Linked DNA regions of Stegostoma tigrinum. The protein of the gene in region 2 interacts with the protein of the main gene of each other region in a pairwise test. Links are inferred from orthologs where the notes say so. Each region holds a gene or a part of one and is shown on either strand. Other genes may lie near its edges.

What was found.
Region 1: the proteins of spry1 (region 2) and gemin4 interact in binary tests that used the Homo sapiens proteins (3 or more experiments, as listed by UniProt). The link is inferred for Stegostoma tigrinum from reciprocal best matches to the Homo sapiens genes SPRY1 and GEMIN4.

Annotation. Positions count from the first base shown.
Region 1 is NC_081380.1:34,516,478-34,523,408, reverse strand, and holds the start of gemin4 (gem-associated protein 4), read right to left. Parts: upstream 3,055-6,931; 5' UTR 2,964-3,054; intron 524-2,963; 5' UTR 437-523; coding exon 427-436; intron 1-426. UniProt on the Homo sapiens protein: The SMN complex catalyzes the assembly of small nuclear ribonucleoproteins (snRNPs), the building blocks of the spliceosome, and thereby plays an important role in the splicing of cellular pre-mRNAs.
Region 2 is NC_081354.1:34,545,067-34,552,203, reverse strand, and holds the start of spry1 (protein sprouty homolog 1), read left to right. Parts: upstream 1-4,035; 5' UTR 4,036-4,477; intron 4,478-4,516; exon of another isoform or gene 4,517-5,319; intron 5,320-6,299; exon of another isoform or gene 6,300-7,075; intron 7,076-7,137. UniProt on the Homo sapiens protein: Inhibits fibroblast growth factor (FGF)-induced retinal lens fiber differentiation, probably by inhibiting FGF-mediated phosphorylation of ERK1/2. Inhibits TGFB-induced epithelial-to-mesenchymal transition in lens epithelial cells.

The DNA of each region.
Region 1 (6,931 bases), on a different chromosome or scaffold from region 2:
CAATAACACAAACACACAGCCTTAGTCTCAGTCAAGTCAGTTGACCTCCTGATATGGTGAGGTTAGTGTGGCTACAAGTTTCTGTTCACCCTCTCTCTCTCACAATACCTTCAGGCACCATACAAAAATTAATTAACCAATGTATTTTAAAGTCAACTTGCTTTTGTAAACTAAAAGGATCCACATTCAGCAAGCTTCCTGCAGTAATCAGCCAAGGGAAGCATTTAAACTGCAAGTTTACAAACATTTGTTTCATGGGTTTACTCGAGAGTGGTGTTGCTTTCTGCACAAGAACATAATTTCACGCAAACTTTTTTCTGCAGTTTAGCAAATCTGGCACCGAAGAAGCTGCAACTCGTGCTCAAGTTATGCTGTACAGGAGCCATGACACAAATTATGGTCTTTAAAAAATGGAAAGAAACTTACCCTGCTCCATATTTACAGGTTATTTCCCCATACACTGTGCAATCTTTGATGGCTTGATCGTACAATTTAATTGGAAACTCCTCCAAACCTGTGAACTCTTAGAAAAAAATTGAACTTTTTAAACAAAGTTTTAACATCTCAATATGTAAAGAGTATCACCCCCACAAAAAATGACAGTTTTCTTGCTTATAAAACTCAGCGGCAATTGAAAGATGTAGTTGTCCTGCCTTCTAAATCATGATTGGAATGCAAAAATGGCAGCATGACTGAAATGTCAGTTCCTGAGAGTACCAAACCTATAGCGTTCCGTGACAGATCATTGTTAAACGAAGCAAATCATTTTGGTTTCACACTAACTGCAACTAGTAAAAGGTGCAATTCAAAAATGCAGATACCTGGACATAACGAAGTTGCTTTTGTCCTCACCTTCCATAGATCAGTCTCCATATTCAATTTATCATTGTACGCTATCCCAAATGTGATTCCACCACCAAAGCACCTTGCTGTACTTTCACATTCAGTATTCCAAAAGGATTGTCTTGCCTGCAACCCCAGATTCACTCTTCAAATTATCCCCAACACCTTCAGTCCTTCCACAGGCATTCTCCCAGGTAAGTGAAAGACTGTATCTGCCTTAAATAAATATAGAGAACACTGGAGAAACTCAGCAAGTCTGGCTGCATCAATGGTGAAAGACAAATACCATTTCGAGTCCAGTATGACTCTCCTTAAGAACTGCCTTTGTGCATTCCCACTCACCAAGATCCCAAACCCATTTTCCAGCTGAAAGACTGATTTGTACTTCTTTCAATTTAGTCTACAGGATTCACTGCACTTAGTGTAGTCTCTTCTTCACCAGTAAGAGCAAAAGCAGATTGGGTGACTGTCTTTCCAAATACCACGTTGTCCACACAACCCCAAAATTCTGGCTACCTGCCATTTTAATTCACCAACATAGTTTCAATTGTCTGCGGTTTTCTGCAGTTGTCCAGAGAAGCTGAAGGCCAGTATCTTTTCTTCCAAGTGCTTTACAGTCTTCCATACTCAACATCGAGTTTAACCACTTCAGATCATATATGTTTTCCCACTATTAGGGAGGTGGTGGCCTAGTAGTATGGTCGCTTGATTGTTAATCCAGAGACTCAGACAACATTCTGGGATTGAAGATCCACCACAACAGATATTGGAAATTAGTTCAATAAAAATATCTGGAATTAAGAATCTAATGATGACCATGAATCCATTGTCAATTGTCAGGAAAAGCCCATCTGGTTCACTAATGCCCTTTAGGAAAGGAAACTGCCATCCTTACCTGATCTGGCCTACATGTGACTCCGGACCCACAGAAATGTGGCTGACTCTGAGCAATTAAGGATGGGCAACAAATGCTCATAGCCAGCGGTGCCCTCATCCCGTTAATGAATACAAAATAACTGTTTCAGACTGCAGTTATGGACAATAATCCTGCTATTCCCATTTATACTTCCTCTAGACAAGCTTTTCATTTCTTCACTCTTATCCCTGTCTCTGTACTCAAATGAAAACCCATTACGTCTCTGGTTGTTTTTGTTTTTGGCAAAATGTCATCAACCTGAAACATTACATCTGTTCCTCTGTCCGCAGGTGCTGGAGTACCCGCTGAGAATCCCCGACACTTTCCCATTATTTTATCCCAAATATGGAGAGCTTGGTAATAATTGCACCTTGAAGTGAGACTCTAATTAAATAAAAACAGTGTATGCTGGAGTGGGTTTGTCAACATCTGTGGCGATAGAAATAGAGTTAACACATTTGAATCCAATGACTTTGAGATAACAAGGGGTAGAGCTGGATGAAGACAGCAGGCCAGGCAGCATCAGAGGAGCAGGAAAGCTGACATTTTGGGCCTGGACCCTTCTTCAGATGCTGCCTGGCTTGTTGTGTTCATCCAGTTCTATACCTTGTTACCTCAGATTCTCCAGCATCGGCAGCTCCCACTATCTCTGAATCCAATGACTCCTCTTCTTTCAGATCTCTAACAGCCACCGTATTTTGTTTGAGACTATAACTAGTGGACAAATCAAACGTCAGACACCACAACCAACAGATAACAATATTATTGCAGCAAATTTGGCCTTTTGAACGTTTAAGTACAGCAACTGCTCCAAAAGATTTCGAAAACACACACATTTCCTATTATATTGAAGTCACTGTGTGGCTGTTTCGTGCTTTCTTCACACCATGCTAATGCAACTTAAGTAAAATCATACATTTTAATTGCATCAAAACCACAAGCAAGCAAATTTAACGTTTTGATGAGATCAAATTTCCTCCTGAAGGCTATTTAACCAAGATAAAAAGAACAGGGGCGGTGTACGTTTGTGATTAAGTTGCAGGAAGGCCTGAGGCCCTTAATGAGATGTACAGCTTCCAGGAGTATCTTCGGTTTCCCCGCCGCCGCCGCCACCACCATCATCATCATCATCATCATCATCATCCCTATCCTCTACCCTCCAAACCCATACAGCAAGAAGACCTCCTCCCTTCTTCCAACTCACTCATTCATTCAGTGCCTCCATCACTCAGTCGCTCTCCATCATACAACAGGCAACCTCGCCAAAGCAGACGCGTTCCCAGGGACACGAAAAGAAAGCCAGGCGCCGCCGCTGCCGCCCCCTAGGCAGGATGAGTAACTGCGCCGCATTGCATATGGCCTCTGCTGAGAAGCATGCACATTGCTGAGCGACAGAGTATGTTTCTAAGGGTGTGGAACAGCACCTCTGAGCGGGTTGGTATAGAATCTTTTTGATGATGGAAGTTGCTAACATTTTTTTGAAACAGTTCTTTGTGTCGCTGAGCTGGCAGGTGCAAGTTCACGTCCCAGCTCCAGAGGTGTGTAATAACAGGAACAAAAGCAAAGTTGCTGGAAAAGCTCAGCTGGTCTGGCAGCATCTGTGGAGGAGAAAACAGAGTTAATGTTTCGGATGACAAAGTGTGAAGCTGGATGAACACAGCAGGCCAAGCAGCATCTCAGGAGCACAAAAGCTGACGTTTCCAGCCTAGACCCTTCATCAGAGGGGGATGGGGAGAGGGTTCTGGAATAAATAGGGAGAGAGGGGGAGGCAGACCGAAGATGGAGAGAAAAGAAGATAGGTGGGGAGGGGATAGGTCAGTCCAGGGAAGACGGACAGGTCAAGGAGGTGGAATGAGGTGGTAGGTAGGAAATGGAGGTGTGGCTCGAGGTGGGAGGAAGGGATGGGGTGAGAGGAAGAACAGATTAGGGAAGCAGAGACAGGCTGGGCTGGTTTTGGGATGCAGTGGGTGGAGGGGACGAGCTGGGCTGGTTTTGTGATGCAGTGGGGGAAGGGGAGATTTTGAAGCTTGTGAAGTCCACATTGATACCATTGGGCTGCAGGGTTCCCAAGCGGAATATGAGTTGCTGTTCCTGCAACCTTCGGGTGGCATCATTGTGGCACTGCAGGAGGCCCATGATGGACATGTCGTCTGAGGAATGGGAGGGGGAGTTGAAATGGTTTGCAACTGGGAGGTGCAGTTGTTTGTTGCGAACCGAGTGGAGGTGTTCTGCAAAGTGGTCCCCAAGCCTCCGCTTGGTTTCCCCAATGTAGAGGAAGCCACACCGGGTGCAATGGATACAATATACCACATTGGCAGATGTGCAGGTGAACATCTGCTTGATGTGGAAGGTCATCTTGGGGCCTGGGATGGGGGTGAGGGAGGAGGTGTGGGAGCAAGTGTGCACTTCCTGTGGTTGCAGGGGAAGGTGCCGGGTGTGGTGGGGTTGGAGGGGAGTGTGGAGCGGACAAGGGAGTCGCGGAGAGAGTGGTCTCTCCGGAAGGCAGACAAGGGTGGGGATGGAAAAATAGCTTGTGTGGTGGGGTCGGATTGTAGATGGCAGAAGTGTCGGAGGATGATATGTTGTATCCGGAGGTTGGTGGGGGGTCCGGTGACCCTTCCTCAGAACTAATAACAATTAATATCAGTGTAATAACATCTCTGAACAGATTGATTAGAAAATATCAACATTATTCTCTTGGTAATGCAAGTTGCAAACAATTTGTATTTTAAGGGTTATGTGGCACAGTGGTAGTACCCCTGCCTCTGAGCCAGGAGTCCGAGGTTCAAGTCCTGTCTGTTCCAGAGGTGTTTGAACAGGTTGTTTGAAAAGATCTGTCCTCACAACAGAAGAGATATGCCTGGAGAAATTCAGCAGGTACGGCACTCCTGTGGAGAGAGAAATAGAGTTAACATTTTATGTGCTGTCTTCAGAACTGTATTCATTTCAGATTTTCAACATCTGCAGTGTTTTGCTTTTATTACATGAAATGTGCAGCAAGATTCTAACAACATCTGACTGAAAATAACCATGTATAGGATTTGGGTGTGGATGACTGTACCAGCACTTAATGCCCATCCCTAATTGCCCTGAAAACAAGTGGCTTGCTAAACCATTTCAGCGGGCAGTTAGGAATGAAACCTTTGCTCTGGATCTGAAATCACACCTCGGCCAAACCAGGTAAAGTAGTGGATTTCCTTCCATAAAGGGCATTAGTAAGATGTATCCTGTGGATAACCCTGAGGTGTTTTTATTGTACTTTAAAGGTGCTGTGTAGATGTAAGTTTTTTGTGTCAAAATTGACTTTTTCATTATTAAATATATACTTATTATTATACAGGTTTTCTTACGTCAAGTTCAAGATGGCTGATAAAATAAAACAGAGAGGAAAAGAGATTCTGACCTCGAGCCACTCCCCTGTCTCCAGGTGGCCCCTCCCACTAAGGGGCCTACTAAGTGAGCCAGTCTTAACAACACCCACCTTTCTCGCAGCATCACTCCTTGAAGCTGGGACTCAGGTGTGCCAGCAGTAGGCACAAACTTCTGTGGTGCGACTGAATGTTGGAACTGCCGGCTAGATGACTACAGGCAGGATGCCATGTTCCAGGGTTCTCAGTCAGGAGGAACACCTGCTCATGTCCTCTTATGTGCCGAATGGCTTGAAGTTCCTTCTAAGAGTAACTGCCTCTCCCCCAAAGTGAGAGAATGAGAATGTGAGCTAAGAGAGGGAGACAAAAGCGAAACTTAAAATTTATGACAAAAAAAATAAGCTTTAGGAACAATTTACAACCAACTGGACTGAGAGTCCACAGCTTAAATTCTTTCTATTTCCAGACTGGAGAGGTTAGGTTTCATGTCAGACCTATAATCTCAGCACTAACAGTATCCTTATGTCATTAATTACAAGACCTCAGTGAGATTTATTCTTACTCACAGTACAAGTCCAGCAGTTTCTTGATTCTCACAGAGGGACTGATCTCAAGCTTTGTTTTATGAGAATAAATAGCTGAATTGTGCAAAGCATCCAGCAATTTATGACAATTCACATCTTGTGGCATAGCCCTTCTGACATCATGAATTGTCAGCTTATAGCAACATAGAAGATAGGAGCAGAGCGAGGCCATTCGGCCCTTCGAGCCTGCTCCGCCATTCTGCACAATCATGGATGATGGCCCAACTCAGTAGCCTAATCCTGCTTTCTCCCCATAACCTTTAATCCCATTTGCCCCAAGTGCTAAATCTAGCCACCTCTTGAAAACTTCCAATGTTTTGGCATCAACTACTTCCTGTGGTAATGAATTCCACAGGCTCACCATACTTTGGGTGAAGAAATATCTTCTCAATTCCATCCTGAATTGTCTACCCCAAATCCTCATATTGTGAGCCCTGGTTCTGGATATACCCACCACTGAGAGCATCCTCCCTGCATCTCCCTATCTAGCCATGTTAGAATTTTATAAGTCTCTGTGAAATTTCCCCCTCATTTGTCTGAACTCCAACAAAAACAGTCCCAATCTAGTCCATCTCTCCTCTTATGTCAGATCTGTCAGCCCTGGAATCAGCCTGGTAAACATTCGCTGCACTCCCTGAAGAGTGAGAGCATCCTTCCTTAGAAAAGGAGACCAAAACTGCACACAATATTCTAGGTGTGGCCTCACCAAGGCTTTGTATAACTGCAACTCCTGGACTTGAAACCTCTCACAATGAAGGCCAACATCCCATTTGCCTTCTTTACCACCTGCATGCTTACCTTCAGCGATTGGTGCACAAGGACACCCAGGTCCCACTGCACACTTCCCTCCCAATTTATAGTCATTCTGGTAATAATCTGCCTTCTTGTTTTTGCTTCTGAAATGAATAACCTCACATTTATCCAAATTATACTGCATCTGCCATTGATTTGCACACTCACCCAACCTGTCGAGATCATGTTGAAGGATCTCTGCATCCTTGTCACAGTTCACCCTCCCACCCCACTTGGAATCATTTGCAAACTTGCAGATGTTACATTTTGTTCCCTCATCCAAATCATTAATATACATTGTGAATAGCTGGGGTCCCAGCACCAATCCTTGAGGCACCCCACTGGTTACTGTTTGCCAATTTCAAAAGGACCCATTAAACCCTAGTAGAGATAATAGGAACTGCAGATGCTGGAGAATCCGAGATAAC
Region 2 (7,137 bases):
CTCCCCGCGTAGTTAGCAATGGATGAAACACTAAAAACGTTGCGTGGCGTTAAAAACGCAGAAGACTGGGTGTAATGCCCATTCAATGTGGCAAAATACAGTATATGACACTCTAGGGTCCCTCACTGAAATTAACCCATATATTTAGATTACACTTTTGGATTTAACAGCTTCCCTCATTGTTCTCCTGCATAATTGCATCCCATCCCCAAGACCTCCCTTTCTGACCAGGGACGTTGGGAAAGTGGCAAACTGCATTGCTGGTTCAGGATATCTCCTTGCGTGAAATGTTCAGTAAGTTTTGGGCAGTACAACTTTTTTTTCACCTGATCCAAGGTCTTCCAGCAGCAGTTGGTGTATGCCTCAGTGTTTATCCCTTGACTCAAGGTCCTAAATAACAGAAGCTCCGTCTTACAGTGTTATTTGGGATTACCTTACCAACAAAACACTACATCTTTTTCTCAGAGATAGTAAGAACTGCCGATGCTGGAGTCAGAGATAGAACAGCGTGGAGTTGGAGGGGCACAGCAGGCCAAGCAGCATCAGAAGAACAGGAAAGTTGACGTTTCTGGTCAGAAGGAGGGTCCCGACGCCAAACCTCAAATTTTCGGCTCCTCTGATACTGCCTGGCCTGCATCTCTTACTCACTAGACTTTGCAAATATAAATGCCAGAAGGGTACTATCAGGACAGCATGGGGTGACTCCGTAATACCGTTTAGGCAGGAAAGATCTGACGGGGAGGACACCCTCAGCCAAGGTATCACTTTGTAGGTGGGGGGGGGGGGTGCATTAGCTCGGTTGGCTGAACGGTTGCTGTGTGATGGCAACAGAGTGGGTTCAATTCCAGCGCCGGGTGAGGTTACTATGAAGGACTCTCCTTCTCAATCCCTCCTCTCGCCTGAGGCATGGTAACCCTCAGGTTAAACCATCAGCATTTGCACCTCTGGAATGAGAGAGCAGCACTATACTCCAGCAAATTTGCCTTTTATCACGTGGTGCTCGTTTGGTAGACCTGGCAATGGAGTGGTGGTTCTGCCCAATGACTATCAGTCTCTTCAGAAGCCATTCAGCAGGACCCTATTGACTTGTTTTCTTTACCTGCACTGACTTCTTTTTTGACTGATAAGGGGTATGACACAGTCCAGCTGAGAAACATGTTGGTGACAATATAGCCAGAGCAATGTTTCATTTTCCTTGCCTTTGGGTAAATTTAGAAACATAAACCATGGATAGTGCATTTTAAAACCTGTATAGACACCACGGGTTGGAGTGTCGTCCTCTTTTTCTCACCAAATGGTGTGAAGCCCGTGTAATGTGTAGTTTGAAATCAGACTGCAACCAGACTCCAAGAGGAATGGTATCTACCTTTATGTTACCGCAGAGATGCAGTTCCCAGAAACGTTAACCACCTCAATTCGCTACAAAAAAGTGTTCCGGAAGCCATGGTGTTATCGAGGAACTGTTTAGTCCGGGAGGGCTCTCAGTGCCATCAGATTTCAGAACCTGATGCCAACCTTAAAACAAAGGCAAAAAAAAACTGGGAATGCTGGATATCTGAAAGTAAAATAAAAAATCAATGTACTAGAGAAACTTAGCAGCTACGGCTGCATCCGTTTGGAGAGAAATAAGAGTTCACGGTTCGGAGTCAATATCAATCTTCAGCAAACTGCATTTCTGAAGAAGTCATGCTGGCTAAGACAATAAGTCACAGGAGCAGAAATTAGGCCATTCAGCCCATCATGGATGATCAGCTTCGCCACCCCATTTTCCCGCTTTCTCCCCGTAGCCCTTGATTCCCTTCACAGTCAAGAACTTATCCATCTCTGTATTAAATACACTCATTGACTTGGCCTCCACAGCCTTCTGTAGCAGTGAGTTCTGTAGATTCAGCACTCTCTGGCTGGAGAAGTTTCTCTTTATCTCCGTTCTAAAGGGTCTTCCCTTTACTCTAACGCTTATAAAGGATTATAAAAAAGTGAAGGGCATGGAAAGGGTGATTAGTGAAGGTCTTTTCCTCAGGTCAGGGGTGTCCAAAAGTAGACATAAGTTTAAGATGTGAGGCGAAAGATTTAAAATGTACTTAAGGGGCAATATTTTCACACAGAGGGTGGTGCATGTATGGAATGAGTTGCCAGAGGATGTGGTGGAGGCTGGTACAATTACAATAGTTAGAAGGCATCTGGATGGGTACATGAATAGCAAAGGTTTAGAGGAATATGTGTCAAATGCTGGCAAATGGGTCTAGATTAGTTTAGCATATCTGGTCGGCATGGAGGAGTTGCTCCGAAGCATCTGTTCCTGCTGTACATTTCTATGACTGGAAATTGTAACTTGTGTTTCTCTGTTCATAGATCTAGGTCCAGCGGCGTTTACTACTTGGAACCGAACGCCGTTTTTTCAGCATTAGTTGAGGCTTACCACGGGGATTGTAGTTTGTAATTACCGATGCAGCGCACTGGTCTTCTTCCCGCGTGTCCTTAGCCACTGACTTCCGCAACGTTGCTGCAAAAAAAATGCCAGTGTAGGTCATCATCAGTATTTGGGTGAAATCGACTCCATTCAAGGAAATTGTCAAACTTGATCCATTGCCGTGTTTCAGATTCAGTTATAAATGCACCGTCCATGTGCGGAAACTGCACATCAAAACGGATTCATTTTTGTTCGAGCGTGAATGCAAGGGAAGAGAGGTACGGCAGAGGTTCTCTACAATTTGTGACTGTCTTTCTACTTGAAATGTGCCAACCCCCCCTAAAAAAACACAATGAGGGAAGTAAAAAAAACACTCCCTATTCAAATGATTCTTAACTTCTGCTGGGAAGGTGTTTGCATTTCGACTGTACATTGTGAAATACTTTCACTGTTTAGTATGTATCAATAACTGAGCTAAATGGTGCCATGTTGAAAATTGTTTTAAATTCCCGTCTAAACGTTGCTAAAAAAAAGTTTCAAAGTAAAACGGCTTTCCGGAATTAAGAGGAAAAAATGCGCATTGAATGACGTGCTATAATTTACCCAAGAACGTTCTGATATTGGTTGTTAAAGTTTTTGTAAATTGTTACCATAACACAGTGTGACTTGCAGCAGACCCGATGTGTAATACAGCAGACTGGGTTGACTGGTTCTGCCGAAACTCTGACTGACACATTTACCATATGAAAAGATAAACAGCGTCCATCAATGTCAGAAAACCAAAACCACAGACTCATTCGTACCGTAAACCTTGGATGCTATCTGTCGAGCTCATTCGAGCGAGAAACATTTCTTGATCCGCCCTCCTTGTCTGCCCTTCCCAGGCGTTGGGAGCAGGCTGCCTCATTGATAGCCGCGAGCACGGTGAGGACTCGGAAATAAATGTAAAAACAAGCTTTCGCTCATTGTGAAAAGCAGCAGCAGTTACAGGTAATGGCACATCAGCCATGCTGACAGCTACACCGGCCTTGCAATTGGCATAAGTACGCAGCTCGAGACCTCCCCACATACACTATTAAAATCGCAAAGCAGAGCTCTCATGCTTTTGAAGAGCGGAGCATAGCACAGAGACTAAACAATTGGTCGCAGATTGGATATCGCGCCTCAGTTATTTGCTGTTTATTTGCCTGATTTCGCCCATAGAACCAATGTTCGGGCCGTTCACTGGCGGTTTTGTTTGTTGACTGGTTATTTCGGGGTAATGGGGATGTGTAAATATTCGCCCGGAAAGTGTCTCCTACTGGTGGCAAGGGCAACTAACTAAGCATTGAGACCCCACGCGCACCCACCGGTCGCACACCTATCTCCATGGAGGAGATCATTTTCCCAGCACGGGGAACAGTAATCATAAAATAGGTTTGTGGTGGGTGACAATCTATTTTCTACAGTTGAAATGTCCTTTTAAAATGCACTGCACTGGATATGTTCCGAATTCAGCGCGCTGCTGACCCAGTGGCTGCCAAGGAGTTTACTCCTTGGAGGCGGGGTGGGGGGTTGGGTTGGTGTGCGGGGAGGTACTAAAAAACGCAGCTACCAGATACTCTCACCATTGAAGTGTAGGGAGTCTGTGGACCTAGATGAACCAGCTTGATTTACTCCTTGTGTGCCTTTGTCTCTCTACACCATGGACGGTGGGAAGACAAGCCTTGTGTTTTAACAAGGTGGACATATCAATGAGTCGATTGAAAAAAAGTAGTTAAACCTGGATAGGGGATGCAATATTGATGCCTCTCGTCAGACTGGTTTCAGAGAGGCAATATTCATTTTTAAAACATGAATTAGGCAGAGATTATAGCTACTTGTCAGCTTTGGCATGTCCATTATGTAAGGAGGGAGGGGTTTGTGTCAGTTCTGACATGGATCATTTTGGTTAAGTCAGACTGTATGAAATCGACCCTTGATCTCTTGTTGTTGTTTCTGGGACTGGATTTGTGTTTTTGCCGGGCAGGGGTTTGTTGTTGAATGGGACATGTGGTCTACACCTTGATGTTCGATCACACCAACAGGGTAGGTGTCTCTTTAAATTCCCTTTGCAGTTTCTGTAGAACTTGGCGTTGCCGTTTTAAGAGCACTTTGAAGTCTCCATTTGGTCAGTTCCTTGGCCTCCGGGTCTGACATCTCGGCTAATGAAATTCCCTGATAACTGGTCTGGAAGGGTTGATGGACTAACAGATAAATCCCTTAATTTCTTTAAACGGGTCTTCAGCCGTTCCGGTGTGAAAGGCGGTTTAATGATCAGTCAGACTTCAGATGAAAGGGAAGCCAGAGGGTTAATGAATGAGCGATTTCCTGCGCAAATGAAACCAGCCAAAGAGCCACAGGTCGCCCCAAAGGAACATTCAAAGAGACAGGACAGCAACAAAGGAAACGCCTGTACTTCGTAATGCATATACTGTACTCAGGATGAACGGAAGAGGTTCATGTGTTCTGCCAGATTATTAAATGTATCATTAAAATACGCGGGCGAACACACGCACTGCATCTCTCTATATAAACAAACAGGCTGTCCCACTTTGCAGCTCAAATTCGCTTAACGATTACAACCAGGAATCATTTAATATTCCTCATAAATTATTCCTGAAGACATTTAGTGTAGGTTCCCCGCCCCATTCAGAAAGTTCCGTGGATTGGCATTAACATTCTCAGCATGAATACGGTGGCAGGAGACAGTTGTTTTGGTGCATTCAAATGACTGGAGCTACAACAAAGAGGCGTTTAGGAAGTCGGGATTTCCCCCCAGTGTGATCTGAACACAAAAGCATTATCTAAGGGTAGGAGCTGCTGGAAATGTTCAGCTCCTTAGTACCTGGACTTTCAATATTCCGATGCACGGTTTCTATTTTTTGTTGGTAAGTAAAAAAGCCCAAACATAGTTAAAAAAAACTAAAATACTTGTATGTGTTCAGTAATGGCCTTTGAAAGCGAGATTTCGTCGTTGCGGGTCTCTTTTTTGATGAATGTTTCCTCTGCCTCTTTTGAAAACCACATTCGTTTTTCTCATCTGAAAGCTTTCTCTGTATAATGGGAACCAGCAGGATGCGATAGAGGGAGAATTGCACTGAATTCCGGTCTGCGGTTTATTTTACAAATGAATAATAAAGCCGCCGAGGGCCCAAGGCAGCGTGAGGGGCTCAGATGATTTTTCTCCAATGGCTCGTTTAGCAATGAGGAACATTTTATTTTGCTCGTAGAACACGGATAGGGGTCTGCGTGTGTGTTTGTGTGTGCGAGAGTATGTTTTGTGTGCTTCGACAGCCAAGATACAAAATGTGTATTTTCTTAAATCTCGCTGAGTAAGAATATGGTGAGAACTGCAGCAGAATTGATACACGACTCTAACAGGAAATAATGTTTACGTTTAATGTTTCAATACAGTTTCTTCAATGCTTAACGTTACTATGAAACAGAACGTAACTAATTTAGTCTGGCATATGCATTATATGATTCGTGGTAAATTGCAGGGGAGGTTGTACGGGGAAATCTAAGTGAAATGAATTACAAGCACCCAACGCGACAGCGATTGTCTCTGGTCGGATGCGCCGCTTCCTCCGATCCAATTAGCGGGACACTACCCACCTATCTGCTCTCAGCGGCAACCAGAGTCCCCAGGCCCGACCAATCCGCTTCCTGGGAACAAAGGAAAGGGGCGGGGAAGAAGGCGGGATCCTCACACCTTTATCCAATCAGAACCCACTAACCGGGGCCGGCTTCGGCCCAGCCAATCAATGCTGACCGGATGCGCCGTATCCTCTTCGTTTCACCCCCCCCATACCCCCGGACACGGGGACCAATCGGCGGCGTTGGAATGCGCCCTTGCGGCTAATGAGCCGCAGTGGAATGCGAGCTGGCGACCAATGATGGTGTGTGTTTGTGCGGGGCTAGCGGTGGAGGGGACGGGACGAGCGGTCGCCAGTGCCACTGAGGACAATTGGAAAGCGGACGGCGCCGCTACGGCTGTTATAAAGAGGAATTGTGCCGAGATTTAGCTTACCACAATAACAGTGCATAGGAGCAAAGCTTCACTGATAGTCATTCACACACACATATACATAGGCAGCAGAGTTTTGGCACAAGGTTGGGAGCTCAAACTCTTTCAACACCTACAGCAATCAGGACCAGGGCAAACCGATGCACCCAGAGACCGTGCGTTACAGGTGACACCTTCCGTGTGTGGCAACCAAGGTGCAGAAATAAAAGTCTTTGCGGAGAGCTTGACTGGTGGCCAAACAAGGAGACGGCCTTGGCGACAAACCCCCACCGACAGCGTGCTGCGGGAAGCGCCGCTGAGGAAATCACCCGAAGGACGCTGCAGCGAACGGGGCCAGAGCGCGGAGTGGAGTGCGCCGCGAGTGGTTGGCAGCACCGCCACCCATCCCCGCCCCCCGCCCCCGCGGCACGTCTGCATCTCGGGGTCAGTGCAGCGTGGGCTCCTGCTCCTTTTAGCTTCACAAGTTGCCCTCCCGTTCAGTCTTGTTTTCGGTTCGACGACGCGTCTTCTAAATATACATTTGGCTGATATAAGGCTCGAATCTGGATTTACCTTGGAAAAGACTTGGCTAAGGCAGTAATAAAATGGATTTGTATTTGGTGGATATATGGAAATAGGTAAGATCCCTCTATTTTATAGTTTATCTAAGTCTTATCTAACTGGATTACTTTTACAAAGG